Linked DNA regions of Schizosaccharomyces pombe. The protein of the gene in region 1 interacts with the protein of each later gene in a biochemical or structural test. Each region holds a gene or a part of one and is shown in the gene's direction. Other genes may lie near its edges.

What was found. Proteins that work in one complex are often made in the same cells at the same time.
Region 2: the proteins of ank1 (region 1) and cam2 form a complex in vitro, tested with the Schizosaccharomyces pombe proteins (one study listed by BioGRID).
Region 3: the proteins of ank1 (region 1) and myo1 form a complex in vitro, tested with the Schizosaccharomyces pombe proteins (one study listed by BioGRID).

What each region holds. Positions count from the first base shown.
Region 1 is NC_003424.3:1,742,809-1,748,298, reverse strand, and holds ank1 (ankyrin repeat-containing protein), read left to right. Parts: upstream 1-2,661; 5' UTR 2,662-2,701; coding exon 2,702-2,726; intron 2,727-2,779; coding exon 2,780-3,064; intron 3,065-3,280; exon of another isoform or gene 3,281-3,348; coding exon 3,349-3,551; 3' UTR 3,552-4,280; downstream 4,281-5,490. Other genes in the region: dal81 (transcription factor), read left to right, coding at 1-1,381; potassium ion/proton antiporter Kha1, read left to right, coding at 4,798-4,878, 4,921-5,000, 5,175-5,490.
Region 2 is NC_003424.3:5,136,814-5,140,765, reverse strand, and holds cam2 (myosin I light chain Cam2), read left to right. Parts: upstream 1-2,612; 5' UTR 2,613-2,779; coding exon 2,780-3,211; 3' UTR 3,212-3,452; downstream 3,453-3,952. Other genes in the region: pseudouridylate synthase Cbf5, read right to left, coding at 1-359; SPOM_SPAC29A4.06C (splicing protein), read right to left, coding at 3,490-3,952. UniProt on the Schizosaccharomyces pombe protein: Plays a role in meiosis and sporulation.
Region 3 is NC_003423.3:1,023,463-1,030,576, reverse strand, and holds myo1 (myosin I myo1), read left to right. Parts: upstream 1-2,603; 5' UTR 2,604-2,646; coding exon 2,647-2,649; intron 2,650-2,693; coding exon 2,694-6,344; 3' UTR 6,345-6,614; downstream 6,615-7,114. Other genes in the region: coatomer beta subunit Sec26, read left to right, coding at 1-1,461; monooxygenase Coq6, read right to left, coding at 6,722-7,114. UniProt on the Schizosaccharomyces pombe protein: Type-I myosin implicated in the organization of the actin cytoskeleton. Required for proper actin cytoskeleton polarization.

The sequences.
Region 1 (5,490 bases):
AGAGGGAACCTATACATTTAGTAATATGCACATTCGTTATGTTTCTGCAAACCCAAAAACTCCAGTTATGTACATGGTTGATCCAGCTTATGAGCCGCACAAACAAATTGCTCGTTATGAAAAACTTCAGCAAATATTTCAAGTGGTTGAAGCCACAGTATCCCCAGAAGTCGGCGAACGATTGATTGGCCTTTACTTCCGGTACATTCATCGCGTATACCCTGTTATTCATGGCGAAAGATTTCTCCTCGCCTTCAAAAAGGCAAAACACAAACTGTCCCCTATCCTTTTAACTGCGATGTATGCTTCCTCAATTATTTATTGGGATGCGGATAAAGAGTTAAGAAATTATCCTCGCTTGGATGCAAAAAAATTATGGGATCTTACTGAGGATTTCTTGGATCTTTCCTTTTCTCTCTCTCGATTAAGTACGCTACAAGCGGCGATTATTTTTTTAACGGGAAGACCATGGATTAACGTAGCTGGAAACTGGAGCATTTTGACTAGAGCGATTGCTTTAGCGCAAATTCTCGGGTTCCATTTGGATTGCTCTGAATGGCAGATTCCAAAGGAAGAAAAAATCTTGCGTAATCGAGTGTGGTGGGCCCTTTTTGTTAACGAAAAATGGCTTTCGATGTATATTGGGATCAATGCAAGCATTCGTCAAGATGACTACTTAGTACCACCATTAACGGACAACCAGCTATTGGCTGGGGAGCAAAGGATTGCCGACTCATTCAATGTATTTGTTAAAATGGCGGAACTAAGTATTTTGCTTCAAAATGTATTACAACATCTTTTCAACGCTCGAGCGGTTATGACAATGTCGAAAAATCGGCGTACTGTGGCTCAAAAGATATCAAAATATCTGATTAGTCTGGAAGAATTTTCATGTAGCTGTAATTTAAGAGAGAACCAACCTGGATCTTTATCATTGTTTTTACAAATCGATGCCTTGGAGTTGTTATTACGGAAAACAGCATTGAAACTTAAACTGACAGATGCAGTATATCAGCAAGAAATGTTGAACGTGGTGCAACGTTGTGTTTCTCATTTTCTAGCCATTAACGAATCCCATTTTACTGATTTTTTCTGGCCGTATTCCCAATTCTATTTTTGTATCCTATCATCTGCAATCATTAAGATGTATCTGGACTTTGAGTTTAATGAAAATTTTAATGCTACGACTTTTGGCCTTTTGTCATCTTTCACAAAGCATTGTGTCTGGCTGAAGTTTCGAAATTTTGATTTGGTTTTCATGGCTTATAAGCGATTAAACGCGTTGCTGATTGAATTAAGCTCAGGTAGACCACTTATTGGCAAACTTCTACAAGAAACCTTTGAACATCGAAAGCGTAACTTGGACGAAACCCTGACATAATGATAGTGTTTAGACCTTTCTAATTCTTTTTTTTTTGTTTGGTTTTAAGAGTTGTTAATTGAATACTTATGAGCCTATACCTACCTAATTAAGGATATCTACACATTATTATTTTTTTAGTCAGCTCTAGTTGCTTATATTTTATAAAGTAGTTTAGGATCCTTGTTAATTTGATTAAAGGGCTTCATTAAAAACATCTGATAGAAAAGTTTAAGTGAGTTAGGAATATTCACGAAGGATGGAAAGATAATATTGAAGTGATAACATCCTATCGTTTTATAATGAGATATTGATTGCAACAATAAGGTTTATCAGATCTGAACATATATTTATTTATATTTTAAAGTTTACCAGGTGGAAGCAAAAAAGATCTCCTGAGCCAGAATCGAACTAGCGACCAACCGGTATCATCGAAATTACAGCCGGGTGTGATAACCAACTACACCATCAGGAGTTAGTTGAGAAGTGGTGTCTAATAGAATATATATAATATATGAAAAATTAAATATCTTGTATCTTAAATTAGCCGGAGTAGATTCAAATAATGATGATAATTAGATCCGTACAAGTTTATTAAAAAGATGAATGAAAGTAATAGTAGGCTTGAATTCCATTTTTTAAGAACAAATATGAAAACTCTTGATGTGGATACTAGAAGTCTAAGCAATACAGGTATATAACAATAATCCATATTCTTAAAATGATCATCAGAAAACGCTTATTCTTACATATTTTTACTTCATTACAATTATTTACCAGTTTTTTTCATCTTTTCATACTCTATAGTTTCTTATCAAATATTCCGTATAAATTATTAGAGTTGACTTGTACCAAGATCATCTGTTCAATTGCTTTGTGCATATATTTTACTTATGTTGTTTATTTTTCTTTCAGAGGAAGAAGCCTTTTGGCTGTGTCGAATGCGTAGATATGTTATACAAACGGTTATAATCCGGGATATGAGAACTAAATGTTTGGTCACTATAGGACAGTTTTTCGTTATAAAAGAAATAAATTTAAGTGCTTAAAGTACTAATTTTATTAATTCATTGCTTTATTTAGGTCATATTGCAATCATTGATAAACTCAAAGCAAAGGTTAACATAGGTTCTCAAAATTTTGAAAACCCACTGTTAAATTCATCAATTGCAATACCATTTGGAGAAGTAATGATTAAACAGTTTCTTAGTATATGCTTTGTTTATTCGTAACTGACGAACATTTCCGTCCCCCACGCCCCCCACTTATATATAGAGATCCATTCAGCGGACCGAAGAACTAACATACTTACCAAATACATAATACACTATAGTCACGAGAATGTCAACTGAAGGAGCTAAGCCATGTAAGAGCGCTGCTTGATTTATTGGCTGTATCAAGTTGCTAACGATTTTTTAGCGGAAATGTTAATTGCGGCTTGCCGCTCGAATAATGTTGACATGCTTGAGGAAGTTGTTCACCAACAGGAAGGAGACGGAGTGAGCTTCATCAATAATGCTCGTGATTCACTTGGAAACGATTGTGTTCATGTCTGTACAAAATATGGTTCCCTAGAGTGCCTTGACTGGCTTTTAGATATATCTGGCGTAAATTTGAATAACCGCTGTCGTATGACAGGGGACACACCTTTACACTTTGCCGTTATGTTTATAAAAAAAGATCAGGAAACTGCTTTACGTATGGGTAAGTGAATTTACAAGCCGAAGTGCTAATCATTGCTTTCGTGTTCTTTGTTATTTTCGGAAGTTATGGTCAAAGTCGAGTTGTGTATTTCTACGTTGTTTTACGAATGATTCAACGTATGCAAGATCGCTTATATTATGTAAAATTCAAACAATTCTTTGATATTACTTTCTCATAATTTTGTACTTTGCTTCCGCTTATTTCACAAACATCGATTTTGCTTCGGGATAGTTTATAGTGTTTGCTTTGTTGAGTGTATTTGTCTAACTATTGTTTCATTATAGTGGAGATGCTTATGGAGGTTGGTGCCGATCCGCTTCTTACCAACAACGATGGTTTTCGACCAATTGACCTTGTTCCAGGAGACTTTCACGATGTCTTTGCTTCTGCATTAGAAGGACCTGCGCCTGCTCTTCAATATTCTGCAGATGTCGTTGCTGACGATGACGATGAAGAAGAAGGATCCGGTGAGTCGGATGAAGAATAGTTCCCCTTTAGATATTCTTGATTCGGCTTCCCTGTTGTTCTTCTTCTGTTTGGATTTTGAGAAATACACGTTTTGTAAGAGATGTGGGTTATATTAACGATAAAATATTTGTCATTCTTGGGGATTATTCGATTTCTTTCTCCTTAATTGCGAAAGTTGTAAGTTATGATTTTGGCTGCTTCTCAGTGTATTGAAATTCCATTGGACGCTTTAGCTTTCCTTTCAGCTGCAATCCAGTATTATGTTTGTTGTTTGTTCATTCTTTCATAGACGCTCCAGAGAACGATGTGTTCTACTCCTTAGATACCTAAATGCGGCTTTAAAATTTCACTGCGCAACTTTTGACAACGTCACAGGCCGTAGGCTGTATGTTAACTTTTAGCCCTTTATAACCTCATCCAATGAATATGCTATAGTTTTTTTAAAACGTTAGCATATTCATTCCGATTATGCTGCTTTTCTCGATACTTTATTGAAAAAAATCGAAATCGTTGTTACAAGTAACACTTTCTTTTGGGTGTCGATAAACAAGTCTGTATTAGAAAATTTGGCATTAATTAGGATTTGGAATTTTTTATGGATTTCTGTAATACCTTAATTGCTTGCAGATTTGTGTCGTATTCTAAAGATTACTTTTTCTTGTTTCTTCTGATATGCTGCTAATGTTAATATTTTCAATTTTCTTTTATTTTTTAGAGAAGCAATATAAAATTTATACACGTTTAAATAATTTCGAGTATCTTATATGAAAGTTTTGTGGGGTACTTTTAACAATCGCTCATATTAGAGGAAAGGAACCATGACGGTTCATCAAAAAGTACTGCATTTATTAAAAAATATTCAATAGGTTTCTGCTTTCTATTAGTAAATCCGCTACACTTATAAAATTGGTACCCGAGTTCGCCGTCCCTAAGACGGTGTTTGTCAGTTTTTAAATTTGAAGGTTCCGTTTGTGTCTCACAACTTACATTACCTAAAATAAATTAAACTCATAGCATGTTAATAAGTCTCAATTTTTTATTCGCTAAAAACACGAGGGTATATTGCTGTAAAAACTTACCACTAAGCAACTAGCACCTCGCCATTACTATATGCAATGTGTGTTAGGGTTCATAAAAAATTGCAAACTTAAGTCGATTGAAGTTATCTTAACTCGCATATAATCGAATATAGCAGTAGGTGCATCAATGACTATATTTCAAATATCAATCGGTTTGTTCATATAACAACTAATCCGCTGTTAGGCATGTCAACGCAAAGCATATTTGACGGCGATAATGTCGTTGTCTACAGTGCATCGGACCCATTGCTTTTGTTCATCGTACAGGTATGTCTCATTTAATGGGAAATTTTATAATAACAACTTTAGGCAATCATTATTATTGCATTATGTCGACTGATTCATATTCCTCTGTCTTTTCTACAGCAGCCAAGAGTAATTGCGGAGATGTAAGTGATATCGGAAGTAAGAAAGAAGCTTTTAAAAAGTTAATAGATGTTTTATAATTTCTCAGATTGGCACGATAAGAAAGTTGTCAATCAGGGCAGTATTTCTTATCACTCGAAAAAGAGAAGCTTCCTGTACCTACTTTTTGGTTTCTATAGTTGTTAACAGAACAACAGTATAGGTGGAATTGTGCTTGGTCCTACTGTGATGGGTAGGATTCCAAAGTTTTTGGATTACATTTTTCCAACTAGTTCTATGGGTCCACTTAACTTGGTTTCTAATCTTGGTTTGGTACTCTTTCTTTTTGTTATAGGAATGGAGGTTGATCTTCGTGTCCTTGTTTTAAATTACAAAGTGACTCTTCTGGTGACGGTCTTCAGTATTGTCATTCCTTTTGGGGCTGGAGCTGGAATATCCGCAGGCCTATACAAATTTACAACTAGAGAATTTGAATTTGGTAAATTTCTACTTTTTATTAGCACAGCTATGTCA
Region 2 (3,952 bases), 3.4 Mb from region 1:
GATTTGACCAAACGGGTGGCTCTGTCATTGCAAATGATCAAACATCCGGTAACTTTGGGATCCAAAGTTCCACTGTGACCAGTTTTTTCAACACGAAGAATTTTTTTAACCCAGGCAACAACCTCATGAGAAGATGGATTAGCCGGTTTGTCTAAATTGATGACACCTGAAGAAACATATTCCGCAATTGGACGTTTCAAAGGGTTATTACCACAGGGAATAGGTGTATAATGACCAGTACGAACGAGCAACTTGTCAAAGTTTTTCAAGAGCAATGGCCACTCAGCGGTATCAATTTTAGAAGCAGAAGTAGCCTCAGGCTTGATCATAAAATCAACTCCTGGATGAGTGTCCGTCATTTTTTCAATAATACAATCGCAGAACGCAGGTGAATGAACAATCCTCGATCCAGCGATATTGGCGGGCGTCAGAAAATTGTTTCGCCAGTAGTTATCGTGACTACCAAAAGTTAGCGATGAATACTTATGCATCTTTAAAATTCGTTATATTTTGCTATTGATCCTTATTTGCAAATGTATTAAAAAATGCATTAAATTGCTTTCCAAAAGGCCAAGTTTTCCAATCGAGTATTTTTTACTATTTCATTGATAGTAATCCATGTAACTGTTTTCTTTAAATGTAAATTTATAACGGCTTGGCGAATTTGTATTCAATTGAAATCAAAAGCTCGCTTTAAATCTTACAACCTATCTTATTACAATGTATAAATTGGTAAAAGAAAAATATTAGTATATTAACTCAAACCTTGTGTTTTGATCATTATAGACAACAAAAGTAAGAAAACTCAGAAATTTAGAAAAAAATAAAATAAATGCTAACAGTTAATCCATTAAATTCCAAGGACAAAACACACTTCGCAATGGCTTGTTTATAATGCTAAAGAAATTTGGTTGAGTGATGATAATTAACTATGCTAAATCGTTGAAAGGAAATATAAGAAAATATTCAAGATGATTTAAACAGTAAAAAATTGCCTTTAAGATTGATAAGAGCTAGATTTTGAGGTTATTCGGTGCTTTTGAAGTGCCTTATTGATGTTCCACAAACAATCATAAGCTTTATTTTTCATAACAAATTCATCCAAATCTTTCTAGTTCCTTTTTAAATAAACCTTATGAAATAATTCTCGTCAAAAATGTGACAAACCACAACAATCCTTGATATAGCTTTCAGTTAAGGCAATTTCTGATATTCATCAGGAATATCTTTATCAGAGGGAGAACCCTGTATATGGTAGATAAATTTGAATTCATTTGTTTGGCAGACTTATAATTGAGAATTTCTTCGGATCTTTGAGCTGAGACTTTCAATTCGTTTACTTCCGATTCGACTTTCCAAATTCTAGCATCAGTATCTGGTTATTGGCTCTAATAACGTTACTAATGCACTCAAATGTTCCATTCAAATAAACCATATTTTTTTTGAGAACATTTTGACCATGGCTAAGATGATTCAGATCTTCTCTGAGGCTACTTTGACCATCTTTAAGCTCTTGAAGCATTTCGTAAGTTTGAAATATACTATCTTTTTTACTTATGCTTTCCCGAACTTCACATGCAAGAATTTCTAGGATTTGCCAATTGTTCTTTAAATGCTTCAAATTCGTCTTCTGGAATGGCTACTTCTAAATCATACACGAAATCGTGTAATGCAACATAAGGATTGTCAGATGGAAGAGGAACTCCAAATTGATTAGTAAATATGGCTTTATCGATCTTCATGTTTAGGCAAGTCGATACAGTTTCCAAAGTGCTATAATATATCAAAAATTTTAACAAAATCAGAGCAGTTTTTCAAGTTTCAGAATTTTATGAAATAAAGATTTATTAACATAAGAGTTTCAAAATACTTGTTTCCTTCAATTTTTATCTAAATTTCGCAAATACGTAAACAAAACAAGAATTTTGCGAAGCTCATAGACAGTTAACTCCTTCGATTTCGTAAAGTAATATACAGCGAACAAATATTACGCTGCATTAAATGTGCTTTTCTACGTTGTATCATAAAGCATAAGAGAAAGAGAAATCTAAAATCCAGTACAGATAATAAAAGGAAAAACCTCGAGTTTGAAGTAGCCGGTGTTACGTTTTCGCACTTGACGCTTTTATTTCAAAAGCATTTTCATAGTACCTTCATATTACAATATGTGTTACGTTACTTTACCAATTAAGATCATATAATAAAATTATGAGGATAGCTCAAGTATCAACTGTCACAGACAAGGAAGAAAAGGTAGCGTTGAAACCTAAGTTACTCAACATTTAGATTATTAAAGAAGGAACCGATTTCCATTTAAAAAAGTTACTTCTTGTGGAGTTTTCCTAGTTGAAAAAATAATCTTATTATGTAAGTTGATTATAGTCATTTGCTATTGTGAGCCAGCCATTTATTTATACACATTTATTTAATCATATTGTCTTATAAAGATAATACTCAATAAGGGAATATATATTAGTATATAAAGGTAATACATACTCTGAATATAAATATATCCATTAATAGCATTCTTAGCCCGCACCAGTCCAGCAAACCCGTTACTTTAGTGGAGAGAGGTAACAAATAAAGGATGTTTGACAGGATAGATGGACTCCACCAACTTCATAAATCATTTACCTCAAACAAAATCATTGTTTCTGTGCTTTAACTTTGATTTATAATAGCTCTTGAATTCAAGCTATTTCCCTTTTTTTATAAAACTATTTCCTTGTCACGTTTATCGCCTGCTTTAGCTTTTGTTTACGTTATTTGAGCAAACAATATGCCTGCCTCCAAAGAACAAACCGATGAAATGAAAGAGGCATTTGTCCTTTATGATATCGACAAAGACGGTTTGATTCCTACGAGTCATGTGGGTTCCGTTTTGAGAAGTCTCGGAATCAATGTTACTGATGCCGAATTAGCAAAGCTTTCTAATGAATTAGGCGATGCCATTGATGAAAAAAAATTTATGAGCTTTGTTTCCAACAAATTAAGGGAAACAGAATCAGAGGAAGAATATATAAAAGCATTTAGAGTTTTCGACAAGGACAATAGTGGTTATATCGAAACCGCTAAATTTGCCGATTATATGAAAACGTTAGGTGAGAAGCTTTCAGATAACGAAGTACAATTGATGGTGCAAGAGGCCGATCCTACTAATTCTGGAAGCTTTGACTATTATGACTTTGTACAGAGAATCATGGCAAAATAGACTGCTTGTCTTTTCAATTCCGTTGCGTGAAGCGATCTGATTGCATATTTATATAAAAAATTCGAGCGAATTTTGAAATAAATGGTTGATTTTATGAGCATCGACGACTTATCAAAGGAGCCTTTTGTTTTCTTTTGGCATTTCATGTATTGCCGCTTCTGTTTCATTCATCCTTTACCTATTGATTACAATTGCGACGAAGGCAGGTTATGCTATTGACTAAATAATGTACAAAGGTTTAGATTAAATATAAATATACATAACATTAAAAAGATGATTTAAGGGTTCGTAGCAGCTTTTTTTTTTCGTTGCAAATAACGTTCTCGCGCAGATTGTACTTGAGTTTCTGTAGTATTGCGACTTGCGTGTATTTTTAACGCAGCTTCTCTTGATTTTTGAAATTCCTTTTCTTTCTGGAGACGTTGTCGATTTTCAAATTCTTTTCGTTGTTTGTCAATTTCCTCTAGTGAGTATGTCCCATGGCGTTTATCTGGGCGATCTTGATGATACCTAGTCGATGGAGAAAGTGACCGTTTATAGCTTGACTTATGATTCCGTTTCTTATCATCCCTCATTGAATTGTTAGCAGATGATTTTCGAATATTCAGTCCAGCAGTCAAGATTTGACGTTGATCTACTATCTCATTATTATCATTCAATTCCAATTTCAGTCCTTTCTTTTTAGCCTCTAGGATTAAATTATCACTACCAAGAGTATCTTGTCCTTTCATAGCATCTCCT
Region 3 (7,114 bases), on another chromosome or scaffold:
GGCGAGTACTGTCTAACTGAGGACGATATACGCGTTGCGTGGAAGAGTATTAGAGCAAGCCTTGGAGAAGTTCCAATTTTGGCGTCAGAGGAGCAACTTTTAAAAGACGTTTCCAATGTACCTGAGGACGATTTGCTTATTGATATATCTGCTCCGGCTTCAACAAGTCGAAAGGTCCTTCCTGATGGAACCTACGCTACCGAGAGTGCAGTCACTAGTGAAGCTTTAAGTGCTGCTCGTTTGGAGGCTGTCAAAGCTTCAAAAAAGCCACCGTTGCGCACACAGATTTTGAGTGGTGATTACTATCTTGCTGCTGTTTTAGCTTCTGCTCTTACAAAGCTTGTGATGCGTTTTGCTCGACTTTCTTTCGACAAAGAACGATTGAACGCTCTCAAAGCTGAAGCATGTCTTATTATGACATCTATAATTCGAGTGGGTCAGTCCAAGTTTGTAAAATATACCATTGATGATGACTCTGTTGAGCGTATTATGAACTGTATCAGGGCCATATATTCCTTTGAAGAGCTTCCTGAATTCCAAACGGTGTTTCTTGATGATATGCGAAAAGCATTTTCATCACTTGTTGCTCAATCAGACAAGCGACAAAAGGAGGCAGATTTGTTAGTTAATGGAAGTGATGCTGTTCAAGCCGATGAGCTACTGAATATTCGCCAATTTCAAAGGGTCATTGAAGAAAAGCAGGATCTTAATTTTGAGTCCGACATCATACAAGCCACCAACGATGGTATGGTAGTGGAAGATTTGGCATCTAAATTAGATCATATCGTACAATTAGCCGGTTTTACAGATCCTGTTTACTGTGAGGCATATGTGAAGATACAACAATTTGATATTATTCTAGACATATTATTGGTTAATCGAACGGATACCACGTTACAGAATCTCTCTGTTGATTTGGCTACGTTGGGAGATCTTAAGGTTGTAGAGCGTCCACCACCCATGAATTTAGGACCTCATGCCTTTAAATCTGTTCAGGCTACGGTAAAGGTATCTTCAACGGAGTCTGCAGTAATCTTTGGAAATATCGTGTATGGTGGTAAAGCATCCGACGAAGACAAAATTGTTGTTTTGAATGGCATTCCAGTCAACATTATTGATTATATAAAACCCGCATTCATTCCCGAATCTCAATTCCGTAGCATGTGGACGGAATTTGAATGGGAAAACAAGGTCGATATTTCTTCCAACGAAGACATTAGTCTGTACGATTTCTTACATAAAATAATGAAGAAAACCAATATGAACTGTCTTACTCCAGACGCGTCTCTGCGTGGTGACTGTGGTTTTTTGAGTGCTAATTTGTACGCCTGCAGTATTTTTGGGGAAGACGCACTTATGAGTCTTAGCGTTGAAAAATCCGTCTCCGGTCCTATCTCAGGACATGTTCGCATTCGTTCAAAAACTCAAGGCATTGCCCTTAGCTTGGGTGCATTTGTTTAGAGTAGAATTATATAAGGAATGTTATCCACTCTTTAAATTTCTTGATGGATTAAATTCACAATGGGAAAGCTGTTATGGATGCTGATTTAGTAGGTATATCATGTGTCTAATATTTCGCTAAATCGATATCTGATACGCTGTTTTATTACTCTTGTTGTAAATACCTTTCCTGCCGTTCTTTATTTAGCTCCTTATGATATTTCTACGATTTCGCAATTAAAAGGAGCCTGCCTTGTCATGTTCTCACTACTTGATATCCTGACATTACTAAAGTTGTGTACCTTGTATTTCTCTGTAACAGGCAAGTAGATTAGCTTTCATCTCGTGCATTTAGTTTGGTATTATATATAAACCCCGTTATTTCAATTAATTATGGCACTCACAAACGTTGTCTATAAATCACTGTTTGTATTCTTTTATAAATGATATAAACAGATGATTATGTTTAAGTTACTGCAAATCATATAGCTTCTCTCATATTGTGTTACATCCTAATATCTGTAATAAGTTAATTGTCATAGAATATACTCAAGGTCAATACGAGAACTACAGTTGTATTTGCTGGGGAATTCAACCTTTTATGTCGCGTTATAATAATCTGCGGCTGCTTTGGTTCTTGAAACGGCGATAGCCGTTATATCTAAAATACTTCAAAACTTCTCGCTTTATGAAAGGTATCTTCGACTTAAAATATTCATAATTGAAAATTCATGTTCATTTAATTCATCTTATCGACTACATGAACACACAATAATCAAATCAAGTATTAACTAATTCAAGCGCGTTATGTTTATCACTTCATCATAATTAGTCGCAAATTTCATACCTTTAGTGTGTTCGTTACCTTACCTAATGAAGTTACCCTAAAACACATTTGGATAAGTTTCGTTCGAGTATGTTACATAACAAGCCTCTTTCGGCTAGGTAATTGTTTTAATGTCAATACCAAAAATGGATGAAGCAAACGACAGAAAGCTAAAGTATATTCAATTTTCAGCTAAAGTACAATTTTAATAATTGGGGTCTGAAGTTTCGAACGGTCTTTGGCAATATTGACCTAGAAACTCATATTTCGCTCATTTTAACGATCCGTAACGCAATTATCTCAGTATTAGAAGAAACCTACACGTAAGTGCGGACTTGTCGTTAACCTATCTCTTGTTCGGCCATAAGTGAATAGATTTTATGGTAAGTAAATATGCATGCCGAATGTTAGCTAATTAATAAATTAGGCCATCCTTAAGAGAACAAACCGCGCGAAAGCTGCGACTGCAGCTGCTCCCAATAGCACTGGGAAAAGCAATGGTATTAAAAAGGCTGTTTATACCAGCACACGCAAAAAGACTGTGGGTGTTGATGATTTAACCCTACTTTCGAAAATTACAGATGAGGAAATTAACAAAAACTTGGAACTGAGATTTCGCAATGGAGAGATTTATACATATATTGGACATGTGTTGATTTCTGTAAATCCATTTCGAGACCTGGGTATTTATACGATGGATATTTTGAAATCATATCAAGGAAAAAACCGTTTGGAAACGAGCCCTCACGTTTATGCAATTGCTGAGAACGCTTACTATCAAATGAAGTCTTATCATGAGAATCAATGTATTATCATTTCTGGTGAATCGGGTGCTGGTAAGACTGAGGCTGCAAAAAGGATCATGCAATATATTACACATGTTTCAAAGTCCGTTGGCACTGAAATTGAAAGAGTTTCCGAAATTATTTTAGCTACCAATCCTTTATTGGAAAGTTTTGGTTGTGCAAAAACTCTTCGCAATAATAATTCTTCTCGTCATGGAAAGTATTTAGAAATGATTTTTAATTCCGGAGGTGTTCCTGTCGGCGCTAAAATTACGAACTACTTATTAGAAAAGAACCGAATTGTTAATCAAGTTCGCAATGAGCGTAATTTCCATATTTTCTATCAATTCACCAAGAGCGCTCCTCAGAAATATCGTGATACATATGGCATTCAAGGTCCGGAGAATTATGTTTACACTTCTGCTTGTCAATGTTTGTCGGTTGATGGGATTTCAGATGAGAAGGACTTCCAAGGAACGATGAACGCCATGAAGGTTATTGGTATCACCGAGCCGGAGCAAGATGAAATATTTAGGATGCTTTCTATCATCCTTTGGTTAGGAAATATTCAATTTCAAGAAGGCCAAGATGGTGGTAGCGTGATTTCTGACAAGAGCATCACCGAATTTTTAGGCTATTTGATCGGTGTTCCTGTTGCGGCTATTGAGCGTGCCTTGACAATTCGTATTATGCAAACTCAGCATGGTGCAAGGCGCGGATCTGTATATGAAGTCCCCTTAAATCCAACACAAGCTTTGGCTGTTCGTGATGCTTTGTCTATGGCGATTTATAACTGTCTTTTTGATTGGATTGTCGAACGTGTCAACAAAGCTTTGGTCACATCAGACAACAGCGTTTCCAATTCGATTGGTATTTTAGATATTTACGGCTTTGAAATCTTTGAAAACAACTCTTTTGAACAATTGTGCATTAACTATGTTAATGAAAAATTGCAACAAATTTTTATAGAACTTACTTTGAAAACTGAACAGGAAGAATACGTGCGTGAGCAAATTGCTTGGACTCCTATCAAATATTTCAACAATAAAGTTGTATGTGATTTGATTGAATCCAAACGACCTCCTGGTCTTTTCGCAGCAATGAACGACGCTATCGCTACCGCTCATGCTGACTCTGCTGCGGCGGATAGTGCTTTTGCTCAGCGGTTAAACTTTTTATCCTCCAATCCACATTTTGAACAGAGACAAAATCAATTTATAGTCAAACATTACGCTGGTGATGTAACCTACAGCATTACAGGAATGACCGATAAGAATAAGGATCAGTTAGCAACTGATATTCTTAACCTTATTCATTCTTCCAACAACGAGTTCATGAAATCTATTTTCCCAGTGGCTGAAGAGAGTAACTCCCGTCGTCGTCCTCCTACAGCTGGTGATCGTATCAAAACTTCTGCTAATGATTTAGTAGAGACTCTTATGAAATGTCAACCATCGTATATACGTACGATTAAACCCAATCAGACTAAGTCGCCTAACGATTACGATCAGCAGATGGTTTTACATCAAATCAAATATTTAGGTTTGCAAGAAAACATTCGTATTCGTCGTGCTGGTTTTGCTTATCGTCAAGCTTTCGATACGTTTGCTCAGCGTTTTGCAGTTCTTAGTGGTAAAACCAGTTATGCAGGAGAATACACTTGGCAGGGTGATGATAAGTCTGCTTGCGAACAGATTTTGAAAGATACCAATATTCCTTCATCTGAATACCAAATGGGTACTAGCAAAGTTTTCATTAAAAATCCGGAGACCTTATTCGCGCTCGAAGACATGCGTGATAAGTTTTGGGATACAATGGCAACCCGTATACAACGTGCTTGGCGTTCTTATGTTAGAAGAAGATCTGAAGCTGCTGCTTGTATTCAGAAGTTGTGGAATAGGAACAAAGTTAACATGGAACTTGAACGTGTTCGTAATGAGGGTACTAAACTTTTGCAAGGTAAAAAGCAACGCAGAAGATATAGTATTTTGGGATCCCGTAAGTTTTATGGAGATTATCTATCAGCTTCAAAGCCTAATGGTACTCTATGGAACACATGCGGCCTCTCTCAAAACGATCACGTAATTTTCTCAATGAGATGTGAGGTCCTTGTTCATAAGCTAGGCCGCACTTCCAAACCTTCTCCTCGTCAACTGGTTCTTACCAAAAAGAATTTATATTTGGTGATTACAAAAATTGTTGACCAAAAGCTCACACAACAGGTGGAGAAGAAGTTCGCTGTATCTTCCATCGATTCTGTTGGTCTTACAAATTTGCAAGATGATTGGGTTGCAATTCGTAATAAGTCCAGCCAAAATGGAGATATGTTTTTGCGATGCTTTTTCAAAACAGAATTTATAACTACCTTAAAGAGAATCAATCGTAATATTCAAGTTATCGTGGGTCCCACCATTCAATACTGCCGAAAGCCTGGCAAGGTACAAACTGTTAAGACGGCAAAAGACGAAACCACTAAGGATTATGACTACTACAAGAGTGGAACTATTCATGTTGGTACTGGCTTGCCTCCTACCAGTAAGAGTAAGCCTTTCCCTCGCTTAGCAACTGGTGGTAGTACAGCAGCTGCTAGAGGGCCTCGCCCAGTTGTGCAGAACAAACCTGCTGCTACAAAGCCCGTATCTATGCCGGCTGCGAAGAGCAAACCTGCTCCTATGGCTAATCCCGTAAGTACTGCTCAACAAACCCAAAATCGTCCCCCTGCTCCTGCTATGCAAGCTCGTCCTAATACAACTCAAGCTGCAGCCCCAGTTACAAGTACGACTACAACTATTAAGCAAGCAACCACTGTTTCTGCTTCTAAACCAGCTCCTTCCACGGTAACTTCTGCAGCTTCTTCTCCAAGCAATATCTCTAAACCCTCTGCTCCAGTTGCTAATAACGTCAGCAAGCCTAGTGCTGTTCCTCCTCCTCCTCCTCCTCCTCCCGCTGAAGTCGAAAAGAAAGACTTGTACTTGGCCTTATATGACTTTGCGGGACGCAGTCCAAATGAAATGACTATCAAGAAAGACGAAATTATAGAAATTGTTCAAAAGGAGCCAAGCGGGTGGTGGCTTGCTTTAAAGAATGGTGCTGAAGGATGGGTTCCCGCAACCTATGTGACAGAATACAAAGGTTCTACACCTCAAACCACCGCTTCTTCGACTAATGTTGCAGCTCAAGCGAATAATAATGCTAGTCCAGCTGAAGTCAACAACTTAGCTGGTTCACTTGCTGATGCCTTGCGCATGCGAGCATCAGCTGTGCGTGGTAGTGATGAAGAAGAAGATTGGTGAGCTTTCATTATGATGTATATATAATACGGCCAGTACATTGCTTGATTCTTAATTTGCAATAATGAATGGCTTGTGACAACTATAGTCTCTCCTATCGCATGTTTTTTAGCTATCAATGAAAGCTTCTAGTATTTGCTTCTTGCATGTTTTATTGTGATAGATTGAGAATACTCTTCGTCGACGACTTTGATTAAGCAAAGCTAAATAGTAATTTAATTGTGAAATATAGTTGATACATTGCATAGCGTATACTTATAAATGGGACAAAAGTGATAGCTTCTGTAATAATATTAAAATCATTATCTTGTTTATTGTTTGAATAAATTAGTCAGCTCCAGTGGTAAAACGTAAATATAGTATAGTAGACTTCGACAATACTAAATTCCATTAGCTACCGTAGAAAGAATGAAGTTTTTCAAGCTAGCACTGCGATCAAATAATGAAAGTCCAAGGGTTCGTACAGAAGTGACCACCGGATTTTCCATTGCGTACAGCTTGTGGAACTTATCAACGACTCCTAGATAAACATGGTTTTTGAAGTAACGGTCACGGAAATACGGTTGGAGTGAAAAAACACTACCAATATCCTGACCGTGCTTGATAGCAAAAGAGAGTGCTGATATTAAAGATTCAACATCCTGAATTCCAGTATTTAATCCCTGTCCAGCTAATGGATGAGTGTTATGAGCAGCGTCCCCGCAAAGGGCAATTCCTTCTTTTACATATTCATCAACATGGGCAAGTCTCAACGGAAATGCCGCCCTAGAACC